4 linked regions of the Macaca fascicularis genome follow. The protein of the gene in region 2 purifies or fractionates together with the protein of the main gene of each other region. This does not show direct contact. Links are inferred from orthologs where the notes say so. Each region holds a gene or a part of one and is shown on either strand. Other genes may lie near its edges. The genes, in order: CD72, PTPN6, CD22 and KDR.

Region 1 (3,178 bases), on a different chromosome or scaffold from region 2:
GTGGCGGGCGCCTGTAGTCTCAGCTACTTGGGAGGCTGAGGCGGGAGAATGGCGTGAACCCGGGAGGTGGAGCTTGCAGTGAGCCGAGATCACGCCACTGCACTCCAGCCTGGGAGACACAGCGAGACTCCGTCTCAAAAAAAAAAAAAAAAAAAAAAAAACAAAAATACAAAAATTAGCTGGGCGTGGTGGTGTGTGACTGTAGTCCCAGCTACTCGGGAAACTGAGACAGGAGAATTGCTTGAACCTAGGAGGCAGAGGTTGCAGTGAGCTGAGATTACGGAATTGCACTCCAGCCTGGGTGACAGAGTGAGACTCTGTCTCAAAAAAAAAAAAAAATGTAGATATGGTTCCTAAGTTTCTACTCTCATGCCAACTCTAATCAGTTAGTAGGGGCTGCCTGGACCACTGTGCTGAGAAGATGCAGAGGTTGTTTCCAAGCTCAGAGGTCAAGAGTATTGTGATTCTCAGTTTCTTCCACGGAAAAGGAATGGCCACCCCAGCCATGTATGCACTGCCATTCCTGACTTGATGACATATGTCCCTTTACCGAATAGTACCCACCACAGTCTGTGAGTAAGGATATGCTTACTGATTGTTGATAAATTTCACTGAATGTGACCAGCTTGGAAGACAGAGTTTCACAATGTTTTTGGCTCTCCTGCCAAGTTTTCGAAGTAGGTGAGATGTAAAAGCAGCTTTTCTGATGCATTGTCCATCCCATCGGACAGCAGGTGTCTAAAAAGCAGAAAGAGTGTGATAGCAGCAACAGTTGGGATGAAAGTAACTACTCAGCAGTCTTTTGCTAACAATATTCTCCTAGGGCTAATCTCAGCACCTTCATGGACTTCTATGATCTTTGCAATCTTTCTTTCCTTTGCATCCCCTGGAAACACCGTACCTGTCCTTACTTAGTAAAAAGACTTTAACATTCAACAACATTACTTCTTAGCAATCTAGGAGGTTTGTCTTAATAGGGCTAATTTTATTACCCCAATTTCTGAACAATTGCAGTCCACCCTGACACTTTACCTAACATCTCTTGGGCCCATCTCCTCCACTCCCTAAAGCACCCCCCACTGCACATCCAAGACTTCCACTCCTCCAGCACTGGCCCCCTCCTTCCCTCTCCAATTTCCTACAAGCCGAAAATGTTGGGTCCTGTTTTGCAGAAACAGCTCTCTCCATTGCCCTCAAAATTTCTCTTCTCTGTTCTTCTTTTCCTGACTATCCATAAGAAATAAATATCCCTCTTTCTTCAACATCCTACATCCCAATCTGCACTTCTGATCCCCAGACCACCTCTCTCCATTGCTTTGTTCCATCAGTCCTACCTTCATCATTCAAAAATCATTCGCTCCCCACTAGCTCCCTCTCTTCTCTCTACATGATCTCATGTCCCCACCCTGCTACTCCCTTGAGTTACTGTCCTATGGCAACTTAAAGGAATAAAAAGAAATCCCTGCTGGGCACAACGGCTCACATCTATAATCCCAGCACTTTGGGAGGCCAAGGCGGGATGGATCACCTGAGGTCAGGAGTTAAAGAGCAGCCTGGTCAACATGGTGAAACCCCACCTCTACTAAAAATACCAAAAAATACCCAGGCACTATGGTGCACACCTATAATTCCAGCTACTCGGGAGGCTGAGGCAAAAGGATCGCTTGAACCCAGGAGGCAGAGATTGCAGTGAGCCGAGATCACACCACTGCACTCCAGCCTGGGAGTGCACTTCAGTCTCACAGAGTGAGACTCCACCTCAAAAAAAAAAAAAAAAAAAAAAAAAGAACAGAACAGAAAAGAAAAGAAATCCGTATGACCAAATGGAAGAAAGTGAGGGGATAAGTGGAACACTGAAAGGTAGGCAGGGGTGTTGGAAGCTATGTTAAGGATTTTTTATTTTTATATTATGAGAAAGAGAAAGTCAGTGTAGGATTCTACACAGAGGAATTTTGTTCACTAGCTATATCCCAAGTGCCTGGGCACAGTGCTAGAACATATTATCTGTTATGTATTCCATAACTGTTTATGTAATCAATTAACTGGAATGCTCTAGATTGGGATGACATGATCAGATTTTTGTAAAGAATTACCCTGGCTCCAATATGAAGAATGGACTGTGGGGAGAGGAGTGAGTAGGAAAAACATTTAGAAAGTTGTTGCAGCTATCCTTGCAAAAGATGAGGATGGGCAAAAATCCAAATGGATTTATAGACTTGGTGATGGGAAGTGGAGGGAATTCCTCTCAGAATGGAAGGTGAGGGCATGTGCTGAAAGTGAGGGAGAAGGAGTTATTATGGAGAGCAAGCTAACCACTGCAGAGGTTGCCAGGCAGTGCTGAGAGACTAGAGTCTCAGTGGCACTGAGCAAAATGATTCCACAATTTGTCACACCTTGGTGCTGACTGTGGGCAGTTGGGTTCATCCAGAGTTGAAATTTTGCCCATCAGGTGCACTAGAAGGATAACGGAACAAAGAAGTGAGTGAGCCATGTGCGGTGGCTCACGATTGTAATCTCAGCACTTTGGGAGGCTGAGACAGGAGGATCGCTTGAGCCCAGGAGTTCGATACCAGCCAGGGAAACATAGTGAGACCTTGTCTCTATTAAAAAAAAAAAAAAAAAAAAAAGTGAGTAGTAAAAGTGATGGGCTCCAAACCCATGATAGGTAGGGAGAGAAGTGTGGACAGGAGACAGCTGATGGGAAGGGAGAAAAAGGGGAGTCAGCAGATTGGAGGCCTCAATGAGATAAAAAAGTTTGGGGAAAACCTGGAGGAGTGGTGGGCAGCTGTGATCAGAGTGGAAGTCTGAAACCATCCTTTTGCCAGAAGAGCAGTTTGGGATGTAGAGGTCTAAGGTGCTGCTAAGAGAATGGGCAGCCCTGGCATGGAACTGATGGTCACAGAGGTTCAGGTTAAGGAAATGAGGGCAAGGGGCGTCTGCACATAATCTTGCTGTCTTATGCCTGGGGAGATCGACCAGATGACCCCAAGCTAGACAGAGCCTAAACCTGATCATAGCCCAAAAACACCCCAGTCCCCTTGGGCCTGGCACCTTGCCTAGACCCTCAGCCTGTTTTGACACAGCCTTGCCTCTTTTATGTGTCCCTTTCCCCATCTCCACCTACTGGCTGGGGTCCTGCTTTCAAAATGAATGGACACCCCATCCTAGTTCCCTACAC
Region 2 (4,037 bases):
GAGTGGGAAGGTGGGTAAAACAAGGATGTCAGATGCCGGAGCCTGGTGCCCTTTCCACCACCAACCATACCGCAGCAGACAGCGTCGGGGTCAGATGGGATAGGCACCACCACAGCCCATGATGGAAGGTGGAGGAAGAAGTGCTCCCCCAGAGGCAACATGCATCAGGGCAAAGGGGTGGCACGCACAGAGTCCACATGTGCAGTGCCTGGCTGTGAGCAAGCTGTGTGGCTGGAGCAAAGCTGCTCTGAGAGGTTGGGACCCTGCTGTAGAGGGTCATTCAAGGCCAGGCTGAGAAACCAAGGATGGAATCTGCACCAGGGGAGGCCTGGCCAAGCTATCTGGCAGGAAAATGACCACGGAAAGGATCAAGCACCAGAAGACTCAGTTGGAACCCCATCGGTGGGGCCGACAGTGACAAGACGTGCACTGGGGCAGGAGCAGATGTGAGTGTGAGAAGCAAGAATCAGCAGGGCTGGGGAGCCACCCACCCACAAACTCACCAGTACTCTGTAATCAGGTTGTCACTTTTTCTTTTTTGTATTTTTTTTGGGGATGGAGTCTCTCCCTGTCGCCCAGGCTGGAGTACAGTGGCGCAGACTTGGCTCACTGCAACCTCTGCCTCCCAGGTTCGAGCAATTCTCCTGCCTCAGCCTCCCTAGTAGCTGGGACTACAGGTGCGCCCTACTGTGCCCGCCTAATTTTTTTTCTTTTCTTTTCTTTTCTTTTTTTGTATCTTTAGTTGAGACAGGGTTTCACTATGTCGGCCAGGCTGGTCTCGAACTCCTCCCAAAGTGCTGAGATTACAGGCGTGAGCCACCGCGCCCAGCCAGTTGTCACTTTTTCTTTCTTCTTTCTTTTGGCCAGTTGTCACTTTTTCTTTTTCTTTTTTTTCTTCTTTCCTCTTTCTCGCTTTCCTTTTCTTCCTTCTTTCTCTTTTTCTTTCTTTCTTCCTCTCCTTCCTTTCTTCCTTCCTTCCTTCCTCTCTCTCTCTCTCTCTTTTTTTGACACAGAATCTTGCTTTGTCACCCGGGCTGAAAAGTGCAGTGTCACAATCACAACTCACTGCAGTCTCAACCTCCTTGGCTCAGGTGATCCTCCTGCCTCAGCCTCCCAAGTAACTGAGACCACAGGTGCGTGCCACTATGTCCAGCTATTTAGTAGTAGTAGTCGTCATAGTTGAGATGGGGTCTCTCTGTATGTTGCCCGGCGTGGTCTTGAACTCCTAGGCTCAAGTGATCCTCCCACCTCAGTCTCCCAAACTGCTGGGACTACTACATGCTTGGGCCATCACACCCAGTATTTTTTTTTTTTTTAATAGAGATGGAATCTCTCTATGTTGCCCAGGCTTGTTTTAAACTCCTGAGCTCAAGCGATCCTCCCATCTCGGCCTCCCAAAGTGCTGGGATCACAGGCATGCACCACCTCATCTGGCCAGGTTTTCACTTTCAACATCCCAGATCCAACAAGGTCTAACCTGCCGTGGCCCTGCCTCTGCTCCACGAGGGCCCTCTGCCACGGACACACGGTCCTTTTTTTGTTTGTTCCCACATTAGGGCTTTGTGCTCACCATCTCCTCTGCCCAGGGATGCTCCTCTGCCCAGGCCTTGATCACCACATCACATGGCTGGCTCCTCTTCCTCCTCAAGCAGGTCTCAGCTCAAATGTCACCTCCTCGGGAAGGCCTCCCCGATCCCTCCAGCTAGTAATGTCACCTGCACACCCAGTCACTTGCTAGCACATGAAGCTGGTTCATTTTCTTTTTTTTTCTTTGAGACAAGGTCTCGCTCTGTCGCCCAGGCTGGTGTGCAGTGGTGCAATCACTACTCACTGCAGCCTTGACCTCCCAGGCTCATAGCTGGAACCACAGACGCATTCCACCATACCCAGCTAATTTCTTATTTTTTGTAGAGACAGGGTCTCACTATATGGCCAGGCTGGTCTCAAACTCCTGGGCTCAAGCAATCGTCTCGCCTCAGCCTCCCAATGTGCTGGGATCACAGGCGTGAACTACTACACCCAGCCGAGGCTGTTTCATTTACTGCATAACACTTCTGAGAATCTGCAATGATCCAATTTATTGGGTTATTTGTTCAGTCTGTAACCTCCCACTGGAATGTAAGCTCCGTGAGAGCAGGGACCATGTCTGTCTTGTTCACTCCAGTATTACCAGCATCTTAAACAACACCTGGTGTGTAACAGACGCTCAACACGTACCTGTTGAATGAATGATGCAGGGGAACGGGAAGTGAAAGGAAACGGAAGGAAGATGGGACCAAAGTCAGATGTTGGGAAGAGCGGGGAAGTTGGCTGGGCATGGGAGGGCCTTCGCGGGTGGCCTCTGATTGCTGTTTCAGGTGTTGTGAGCTACCCACGGGGGACAGGTCCTAAGCAGGAGACAGAAGCAGGAGCCCAGAGGCTGGAAGTAGAAATGCAATGGAGAGAACAGATACACACTTGTCAGGCGGAAAATGTTAAAGATGGGGCAGAGGGGCATGAGTGAGCCTGGGGGTCCTCACACTTTGCGGGAAGGGGAAGGTTTATAGGGATCGGAAGCAGGCGCATGGCAGGGCAGCAGCAGATCGCACTCACGCTCACATACATGATGGAGTGAGCATCAACAAGGCCCTCCCTCCCTCCAAAACTAACAGGAGACTAGGACCCAGGTGGTGCCTGGGACTTACCCACAGGACAGCATCTCTCTGTAGGGATGGGGAAGTCACAGCGGAGGGCCACAGTGGGCGGGGCTGAGCCAGGAGCACAGCTGTGCACAGCGGCCCAAGCCAGGAGAGGAAGAACCACTCAGAAATCAGCCACTTCCTCCTCGATCCAGCCTGCCAGGCCAATGGCACCGCAGGGACAAACCCTGGACTAATAGTCTCCGGGAAAAGGACAGGTGGGGCGGGGCTGGCCTGAGACCGCCCACAGTGGCCAGCTTCCCTGCAGCCCCAGTGCGGGAGTACAGCAGGCCTGCCCGCTGGGCCAGGGCCCCCTTCCCTCGGGAGAGGAGGAGCCACCTGGAGCTCCACCTGGAGCTCAAGCTGACAGAGCAGCGGGACGCTGGGTAGGAGCAAAGACCAGGAAGTAACCCTGGCTGAGGGAAGAGCAACCAATGGGGGAAAGCTCTCAGTAGGTGGAAACCAAAGGGCCTAAGGGAAAGTCCTAACAGCCCAATTCCTCAGAGAAGGAGGTGTCCCCAGTGCAGGCCCGCCCACCCACCCAGAGCGTAGAGGGGCCCAGTCCAGCCTCTCACCCTGCCCTGGGGGAAGGGGAGGAGCCTCAGGCCCTCACTGGAGCAGGGTTAGGCCCAGCCAGGAGTATAGGAAGGAGCTGTACATGGGGATGGGGCCTGGAAAGGCAGAGGGAATCTGGGAAGGTGAGATGGGGGTTGTCAAGTCTGCAAAAGACTGACACCAAGGCTAAGTCACAGGCACGTTTATTATCGTCTGGAACATCAAGGCCTTTTCTTCCCTGGCAGGGGCACAGGGAGGGCCAACTCTCAGGAGGCAGCCACGCTGCCACCAGCAGCAGGCCCGTGGGGTGGCAGGGTCATGGGCGGCAGGAACAGCGCCTTCAGCTTGCCTGACAGGCTGGCGATCTCAGGATCCTGGGCTTCATAGGACTTGACCAAGCGAGCAAATTTAAGGACACCTGCAAGAGGGAGTGGAGGGTCAAAGCTTCTTCCAAGGACCAGCTGCGTAAGACAGCTGGAGGGGGTGGTAGTTTAAGCATGAACTGCTTCCCCACTGGCTGGGCAGCTGTTTGCAAAACAGGACGCATGCAGGCCTCTGTCCTATGTGGTTTGGATCAACTTCTTGGTCTACACTGGGCACAACTAGATGGGATGCAGTGAATGAAAATATCCCAAGGCAGTGTGCTTCTTGCTCTCAGGTGAACCCTTTTAGCAGTTTAGTCACTGGAACCCCATGAATGAACACGAGACCCCAGGTCTGTAGCTGGAACGCAGGAAGGCTATGGGGCAGCAGAGCTGAATCAGTCAGCACCTTTGGGGAACACCAGGATCTCACCAAAAATTT
Region 3 (4,137 bases), on a different chromosome or scaffold from region 2:
GCGTCTCTAAGGATCACATGTGTTACAACATTCTTTTTGTTTGTTTGTTTTTTGAGATGGAGTTTCGCCCTTGTCCCCCAGGTTGGAGTGCAGTGGCTCGATCTCAGCTCACCGCAACCTCTGCCTCTTGGGTTTAAGTGATTCTTCTGCCTCAGCCTCCCCAGTAGCTGCCTGACACCACGCCTGGCTAATTTTTGTATTTTAGTAGAGATGGGGTTTCACCATGTTGGCCAGGCTGGTCTCAAATTCCTGACCTCAAGTGATCCACCTGCCTTAGCCTCCCAAAGTGCTGGGATTACAGATGTGAGCCACCACGCCCAAGCGTAACATTCTCAAAATGACAGAATGATAGAGGTGGAGAAGATGAAAAGTTGCCAGGAGTTAGGGATGGTGGGGGAAAGTGTTTGACTATGAAGGGCGTAGCACAAGGGAGGTCTTTGTAGTAACAGAATAATTCTGTATCTGGACTGCAGTTGTCATTATATACATCCAGATGTGATAAAATGACAGAACTGTACACACATATTATACAAATGTCAAATTCCTGGTTTTGATACTGTCCTGAATGATTTAGTCGAAGTAACCATCAGGGGATGCTGGGTGAAGCACACACCAGACTTCTCTGTTCTATCTTTGCAACTTCTGTGAATCTATACTTACTTTTTTTAAAAAAAGAAATTTAAGACAGTCTCCCTCTGTCACCCAGGAAGGAGTGCAGTGGTGCGATCATAGCTCATTGCAGCCTTGAACTTGAGGTGGGCTCAAGCAATCCACCTGAGTAACTAGAACTACAGGCATCAGCCACCATACCCTGTTAATTTATGTTTTATTGTTTGTTGAGTCGGGATCTCTCTACATTGCCCATTCTGGTCTCCATCGCTTGGCCTCAAGCAATCCACTTCCTCGGCCTTCCAAGATGCTGAGATTACAGGTGCCAGTCACCGCACCTGGACATCAATTTTTATTTTCTTAATTCCAGCAATCTTAATGGGGGACTCCAGGCCAGGTGGCCAGGTCGCCAGGTCCCAAAGGTCTCAGGCAGGGGACCCTTTGGGACTTGAATTCCTGCTCCTCACCTAGAAGGAGTAGCTGAGGTTTCTGCTGGCCACGGCGCCAGGTGTGGCTCATAGTCTTGCTACAGGAGGGGATTGGACAATGGGTCTGTGGACGTGTCTTGATTTCCGGAGGCCAAGGGCTGCGTGGAGAGGGCAAGGGAGGAGGAGCACAACTGAGAATGCAGCCTCAGCGCTTTCACTCTTCCTCCCCGCCGTTCCTCCAAACAGGTCGTTGGTCTCCTTTTTTGGTGACTTGACTGTCACCCCCTTACCAGGGAAGCATTGAAAGCAGGCAATGAACAGAGTCCCTGAGAGCCCTGGGTGGCCACTCCCTGCCTGGCTGTGTCCCCCTCACCCCCCCCACCTCTGCCCAGGACGGTAAGATGGGAACAATGATAGTGCCTTCCTCACAGGGCTGGCGACAGCACACACAGGACACGCTCAGCAACCCGAACATCCCATGACAAGCATGTGGTAAACAGACGTAGGTTCCAGTCCCAGGTCTGCCATGTGTTTGCTGTGACATCTGTCGGTTTCCCCTCCCAGGGTGATAATAAGATTGCTGTTACGACTTCAGGGCTGTGCTGCGACAGGTCCCCAGTCCTTACAGCACTTTGCACGGTGGCTGCTATGGAACGGGCTCTCTGTGAAAGTGAGCCGTCATTATTCCAGACATTGTCAGGTACCCTGCTGACCCATCACTCCCTGCAGACATCAATTCACGCACCTCTGGCTACTCAGCCCCAGCCTGAGCTTCACAGAGAGACCCTTTGAGACGAAACTGTCATTTCCTTCCCGCTCCCCGGGCAGATCGTGCTCTAGGGTGGGAAGGGGTCTTTGGCTCAGCTGCCACCAGACTTCTCTGTTCTATCTTTGCAACTTCCTCTGATAATTATTTCAAAATTAAAAGAAAATTTTTTTAAAATTCGCGAGGTGAGGTTGTCACCTCCTGTTGAAGGAGCAGCCTGGAGTTGAGAGCGAGAAGAATGGGGATAGAAAGAGGCTTGGCTACTTCTCCTCTTTTTTTTTTTTTTTTTTTTGAGACCAAGACTTGCTCTGTCGCCCAGGCTGCAGTGCAATGGTGCAATCTTAGCTCACTGCAACCTCCACCTCCAGGATCCAAGCAATTCTCCTGCCTCAGCTTTCTGAGTAGCTGGGACTACAGGTGCGCACCACCACGCCTGGCAAATTTTTGCATTTTTAGTAGAGACAGGGTTTCACTATGTTGGCCAGGCTGGTCTCGAACTCCTGACCTTAGATGATCTGCCCACCTCGGCCTCCCAAAGTGGTAGAATTACAGGCATGAGCACCACAGTCGACCTTTTGTTTTCTTTTTTAGCGACCGAGTCTTACTCTGTTGCCCAGGCTGGCGTGCAGTGGTGCAATCACAGCTCACTGCAGACTCAAATTCCTGGGCTCAAATGGTCCTCCTGCTTCAGCCTCCTGAGTAGCTGGGACTACAGACATGCGCCACTGTGCCCAGCTTATTTTTAAGCATTTTTTTCCTACATACAATGTCTGCTATGTTGCCTAGGCTGGTCTTGAACTCCTAGAAAGCACTTCTCAGCAGTGCAGTGCATCTCCATCCCTGGCCAGTCGCAAGAGCCCAGCCCTGCATGATCACCCACCTGGGGAGGAGGCTCTGGAGTGGCCAGTGCCGCTGGGAGCTCTTTCATCAAGGAGGATAATGGAGCTGCCTGCCCCAGGCACCGTCCCAGGGACAGGGTGGGAGGCCGGCCAGGGATGGATCGGTCATCTCCGTCAGGAGTGACTCAGGAGGTTGGCAGACCGGGAGGGACAAAGAGACCCGTGTCATGACCATGGCCTGGTGCCTGGGTGTCCTCCCTCCCGCACATGGTGGCCCAGCCCTCCTGGCACGTGAGGCCATGAGACCTTCTCACCTCCCTTCCTGCCTGGCCAGCCCTCATCTCAGCATCTGCCCCCATCTCTCTGAGTCACTATGTCATGTGTTCTGATTCTTCCTCAGCTTGGCATTTCAGAGGGAGGGGGTGCCATCTGTCTTCCCTGTCCCTGAGGGCCTCCCTGGGCGTGAACTCGGCCGGAGTAGGTCACTCTTGCGTTCTGCACTGAACCTGCCCCTCGCGCTTTCTTCGACCTCTTAAGGAAGCAGCTGGAGTCACCTTTGACTCTTCAAGTGAGTCCTGCCACTTCCTCCTCCAAAATGGGTCCTGACCCCACTCCTCTCTCCATCTCCACTTCCTCTCTCTTGAACAATGGCCAGGGCCTCCCAGCCCTGTCCCTGCCTCCACTGATAGCCTGTGTTCACTGTCCACGCAGCTGCCAGTAGGCCTCTGAAGCCTCAAGCCCTCCATCACACCCTCTGAGCTCACTTTTCCAGCGGCTTCTCAACGTGCTCTTTGAAAGCCCAAGTTCCAGCTGGGCGCGATGGTTCACACTTGTAATCCCAGCACTTTGGCAGGCGGAGGCAGGCAGATAACTTGAGGTCAGAAGTTCGAGACCAGTCTGGCCAACATGATGAAACCCTGTGTCTATTAAAATACAAAACTTAGCCAGGCGTGGTGGTGCATGCCTGTAATCCCAGCTACTTGGGAGGCTGAGGCAGGTGAATCACTTGAACCCGGGAGGCAGAAGTGGCAGTGAGCTGAGATCACGCCACTGCACTCTAGCCTCAGCGACAGAGCAAGACTCCATCTCAAAAACAAAACAAAACTAGAATTAAATTCCATTGCTGGATGGGGTGGCTCACGTCTGTACTCCCAGCACTTTGGGAGGCTGAGGTGGGTGGATCACCTGAGGTCAGGAGTTCAAGACCAGCCTGGCCAACATGGTGAAACCCGGTCTCTACTAAAAATATAAAAATTAGACTGGCGTGGTGGTACATGCTTGTAATCCCAACTACTCAGGAGGCTGAGGCAGGAGAATCGCTTGAACCCGGGAGGCAGAGGCTGAAGTGAGCTGAGATTGTGCCACTGCACTCCAGCCTGGGCAACAGAGCGAGACTGTCTCAAAACAAACAAATAAACAAGCACCAGTCCTGCCTGTGGCCTACAAGACCCTGTGTGATCAAGCTTCCTTGGGCAACCACTCCACCTCCATCACT
Region 4 (3,564 bases), on a different chromosome or scaffold from region 2:
CCAAACACGTAAACCACCTCATGTTAAAGGAAGGCATAAATCTTTAGAGAATGCATTACTGCCACCACCATCTGAGTCTTTCATTCCCTCTCCCTCTTCCTCCCTCCCTCCCTCTCCACTCCCTTTCCCTCTTCCCCTTTCTTCCTTCTCCCTTCTCTCACTTCCTTCTTTCTTCTCTCCCTTTTTCCTTTCTTTCTTTTTTGACTCCAAAGTCAAAACTATTTCGTTACTACTGTCAACTTAAAGCCTCAGGTTATGCTTTCAAGACTTGACTTCTTTTTTATGTTTATTTCACATAGCAGAGTATATGCTAAAGTGAATAGAAGATTTAGTGGCTTCATGAACTGATGAAATGGGCTATTTGCTATCCATGTTTTGTTTTTATTTCCCGTTCATTTTCTCCTCCCATCCTACTTATACACTTTCCAGTTTCTCCTCTCCCCAGTCCCCTACACCTATGCTGCTTCTGAAGAACCTCTGTGGAACCTGTTATCTTGTTTTTTTTTTTTTTTTTGAGACGGAGTTTTGGTCTTGTCACCCAGGCTGGAGTACAATCTCGGCTCACTGCAACCTCCACCTCCTGGGTTCAAGTGATTCTCCTGCCTCAGCCTCCCAAGTAGCTGGGATTACAGGCGCCCACCATCATGCCTGGCTAATTTTTGCATTTTTAGTAGAGACGGGATTTCATCATGTTGGCCAGGCTGATCTCGAACTTCTGACCTCAGGTGATCCATCCGCCTCGGCCTCCCAAAGTGCTGGGATTACGAATGCGAACCACCATGCCCAACCTATCTTTAAAATATTCCCTGAAAAAAAAAAATAACGCCAAGTTCAGCAGCCTACAGAAGAGTATTAGGACACATAGGGAAGCACCTTAATGCCATGGGAAAATATCCTGAAGTTTTAATATGCCATACCAGAAGGGGGAACAAAGAATTACAACAGAGAAGCATTTCTCAAACTGTTTGGAGTGAGAGATTAATGAATTTGCTCAGGGGAAAAACGATGCTCCAGTCAAATAGGTTTGTTAAACCTTGAATACTCTATGTCTCTCCCCCTAGAGAATACCAATATACATTAGTATATAAAAGGTTCTGAGAAGTCCCTGTAATAAAGAAACCTGTTACACATCTACACATCACCTTAGCACCTCTCACACTCACTTGACCATGGCACCCTTCTCACCATTCCATTCCAAACACTTATTTGTACCTTTCAGTTTCAGAAAACAAAGTTCAAATCATCTTTAAATCAAAAACGTACTATTTTGCCTTTACAGACTCAAAATCAGACCCTGAACTCCAGTCAAAAAGGAAAAAAAAAGCCCCCAACCAAGCCAACAATGCCAACTTCAAAAGCCTTCAGAGTTGGAATCTGCCTGTACCTCACTGATACATCAACTATAATATCAAACTAGAAGCTTTGCACAAAATCTAAGGAGAAGGGTCTTACACATCTGTGTGCCAGGTGGGCAATTCCATGAGAGGGGAACATTGTAGTATAACTTAACTTGACAACTGTCCCTGTGGGCATTATTTTTTCACAACATTTAAACTATGGAGGGTATCACTACTTTAATCTTGCATTTGACCACCACAAAGCTCATTTACATGGCCTCTTAAACAAACATGGCCAGAGCACACAGTCCTACATTTCACTTCAGCTTCACCACCCCAGATGACTTTTGTACATAGGCCCGGCCATGATGTGAGTGAAGCAGCTGGAGGCAGAGGAATGGTGGCCTGGCTGATTAGGAAGACAATGTATCATAATAAATCTTGGGCAGAGAGGAAAATTGAATGGACTCACCATACACAACCAGAGAGACCACGTGACTCTGCTTCTCCTTTGAAATGGGATTGGTAAGGATGACAGTGTAATTTCCTGTGTCTCTTTCACTCACTTCCATGATCGTCAGTACATGCCCCACTTTAACTGTGTGATTGGACTCAAGGGGTATTCCATTTTTATACCTATGAAAAAGAATTCTCAGGAATTAGTACAGTCGAAGGATTTGCTCTCACATGAAATGATGCTTTGTGTTTATTTCTAGTAGTTACCATTTTATTTCTGGGGGCGGGTAACCAAGGTACTTCACAGGGATTCTGACACGCTCCCCCACCGTGGCTTCCACCAGAGATTCCATGCCACTTCCAAAAGCAACAAAAGGTTTTTCTGCAAGAAATTTTTTTTTAAATGTCAGCTTATTGTAAATGGTCGTTTGGTTTAGTTTTTCATTTCAAGTGAAACATCAAAAACATTGAGGGTCTGAGTAGCTGCAGTTCCAAGATTCCATGTACTACCTTTTAGTGGGTCACATTTCAGCTTCTCCCACACCTCCCGTGTTTCTCCCACACCTCCTGTGCTTGCATTTGCTTTTCTCTCCCCACTAGTGCACTCCCATAAGCCTAGTGATTGCTCAAGTCTCAACTCAAACACTTGCTCCTCTGTGCAGCTTTCTCTAAGTCCCCCAGAGATGCTTGGGTGCTCCTTCTCCTCTGCTCCCAAGACACACTCCACACACCTCTTCCACCATGTGTTAATAGGCCCGAGGACTCAGTCTTCAGACGTCCTCTTTATTTACACCTTCCTCTAGCCTCAAGTTTAAAGTATCATTCACATACCTCCTAAATATGTGCCTTCTGCCCTGACTCCTCTGGGTTCCAGGTTGATATATTAAACATTTCCACTTGGATGTTTCATAGGCATCTCCAGAGAAACATATCTAACACTGTTTCCCTAAATTTCACTGCCTCCTCGATCTTTGCCATCTCAGTAAATACCACCACCATTTACTCAGTTGCTCCTGCTAACACTTGGGTCATCTTCCACTCTTTTTCCCTTATACTCCACAACCAGTGAATTGATCAGCAGACCCTGTTGACTCTACCTTTGAAATATATCCAGAAGCAGATCACTTCTCACTATCTCTACCTCAACTACCCTTGTCCAAGCCACTCCTCAACTCTCACCTGGATAAACGTAATTAGCCTCCCAACTAACCTCCTTGTTTCTGCCCCTATTTCCCTGAAGTATCCTGGAGAACAAGAGTACTTCTATCAAAACATAAGCCAGAGCACGTCTCTCTCTGTGTATTTTGGCAAGTGCATCTTGGCAAGTGAAATAATTTAAATAAATTTAGGACACTTAGTGATTTCTATTTTGTTCATTCAGAAGAAACTTTCAAGTTCTTGCTAGGGATGCCACATGACCTAGAGGTCAAGAGCATAGCTTTGTAGTCAGGAACTTGAGTTCCAATCTCAACTACTAAGATGAGATGAGCTAATAAAGTAAGGGCTCACTAAATCATACTTGTTGTAGTTGTTGCCACTTTTGTGATTACAACTCTAATAAATAGTATTATCTAAGGTATTTTTACAATTCCACTTTATTGATGCATTCTCATGATATAAAATCCAAAATCCTTTCCAAGGCTTATAAGTAGGATGCCACACAAATTACCATGTAAACTCAGACATTTATGTAAATGAAAGAGAATTAACAAAAAATTAAGGTGATTTACTCAAAGCCAGTTCAATTTAATTCCAGTTCAATTACAGTTGA

What was found.
Region 1: the proteins of PTPN6 (region 2) and CD72 purify together in Homo sapiens (affinity purification with western blotting; 3 studies listed by BioGRID). This does not show direct contact. The link is inferred for Macaca fascicularis from reciprocal best matches to the Homo sapiens genes PTPN6 and CD72.
Region 3: the proteins of PTPN6 (region 2) and CD22 purify together in Homo sapiens (affinity purification with western blotting; 5 studies listed by BioGRID and IntAct, with this or other methods). This does not show direct contact. The link is inferred for Macaca fascicularis from reciprocal best matches to the Homo sapiens genes PTPN6 and CD22.
Region 4: the proteins of PTPN6 (region 2) and KDR purify together in Homo sapiens (affinity purification with western blotting; 3 studies listed by BioGRID and IntAct, with this or other methods). This does not show direct contact. The link is inferred for Macaca fascicularis from reciprocal best matches to the Homo sapiens genes PTPN6 and KDR.

What each region holds. Positions count from the first base shown.
Region 1 is NC_088389.1:63,785,674-63,788,851, reverse strand, and holds part of CD72 (B-cell differentiation antigen CD72), read right to left. Parts: intron 739-3,178; coding exon 593-738; coding exon of another isoform or gene 588-592; intron 1-587. UniProt on the Homo sapiens protein: Co-receptor of B cell receptor (BCR) that plays both positive and negative roles on B-cell functions. Recognizes the Sm/ribonucleoprotein (RNP) self-antigen ligand, and coligation of CD72 and BCR inhibits BCR signaling.
Region 2 is NC_088385.1:7,882,846-7,886,882, reverse strand, and holds the start of PTPN6 (tyrosine-protein phosphatase non-receptor type 6), read right to left. Parts: upstream 2,862-4,037; 5' UTR 2,699-2,861; coding exon 2,685-2,698; intron 1,720-2,684; exon of another isoform or gene 1,571-1,719; intron 1,035-1,570; exon of another isoform or gene 847-1,034; intron 1-846. Other genes in the region: C11H12orf57 (protein C10), read right to left, coding at 3,500-3,651. UniProt on the Homo sapiens protein: Tyrosine phosphatase enzyme that plays important roles in controlling immune signaling pathways and fundamental physiological processes such as hematopoiesis.
Region 3 is NC_088393.1:42,563,457-42,567,593, reverse strand, and holds the start of CD22 (B-cell receptor CD22), read right to left. Parts: upstream 2,855-4,137; 5' UTR 2,684-2,854; intron 1-2,683. UniProt on the Homo sapiens protein: Most highly expressed siglec (sialic acid-binding immunoglobulin-like lectin) on B-cells that plays a role in various aspects of B-cell biology including differentiation, antigen presentation, and trafficking to bone marrow.
Region 4 is NC_088379.1:78,786,588-78,790,151, reverse strand, and holds part of KDR (vascular endothelial growth factor receptor 2), read right to left. Parts: intron 2,176-3,564; coding exon 2,061-2,175; intron 1,974-2,060; coding exon 1,810-1,973; intron 1-1,809. UniProt on the Homo sapiens protein: Tyrosine-protein kinase that acts as a cell-surface receptor for VEGFA, VEGFC and VEGFD. Plays an essential role in the regulation of angiogenesis, vascular development, vascular permeability, and embryonic hematopoiesis.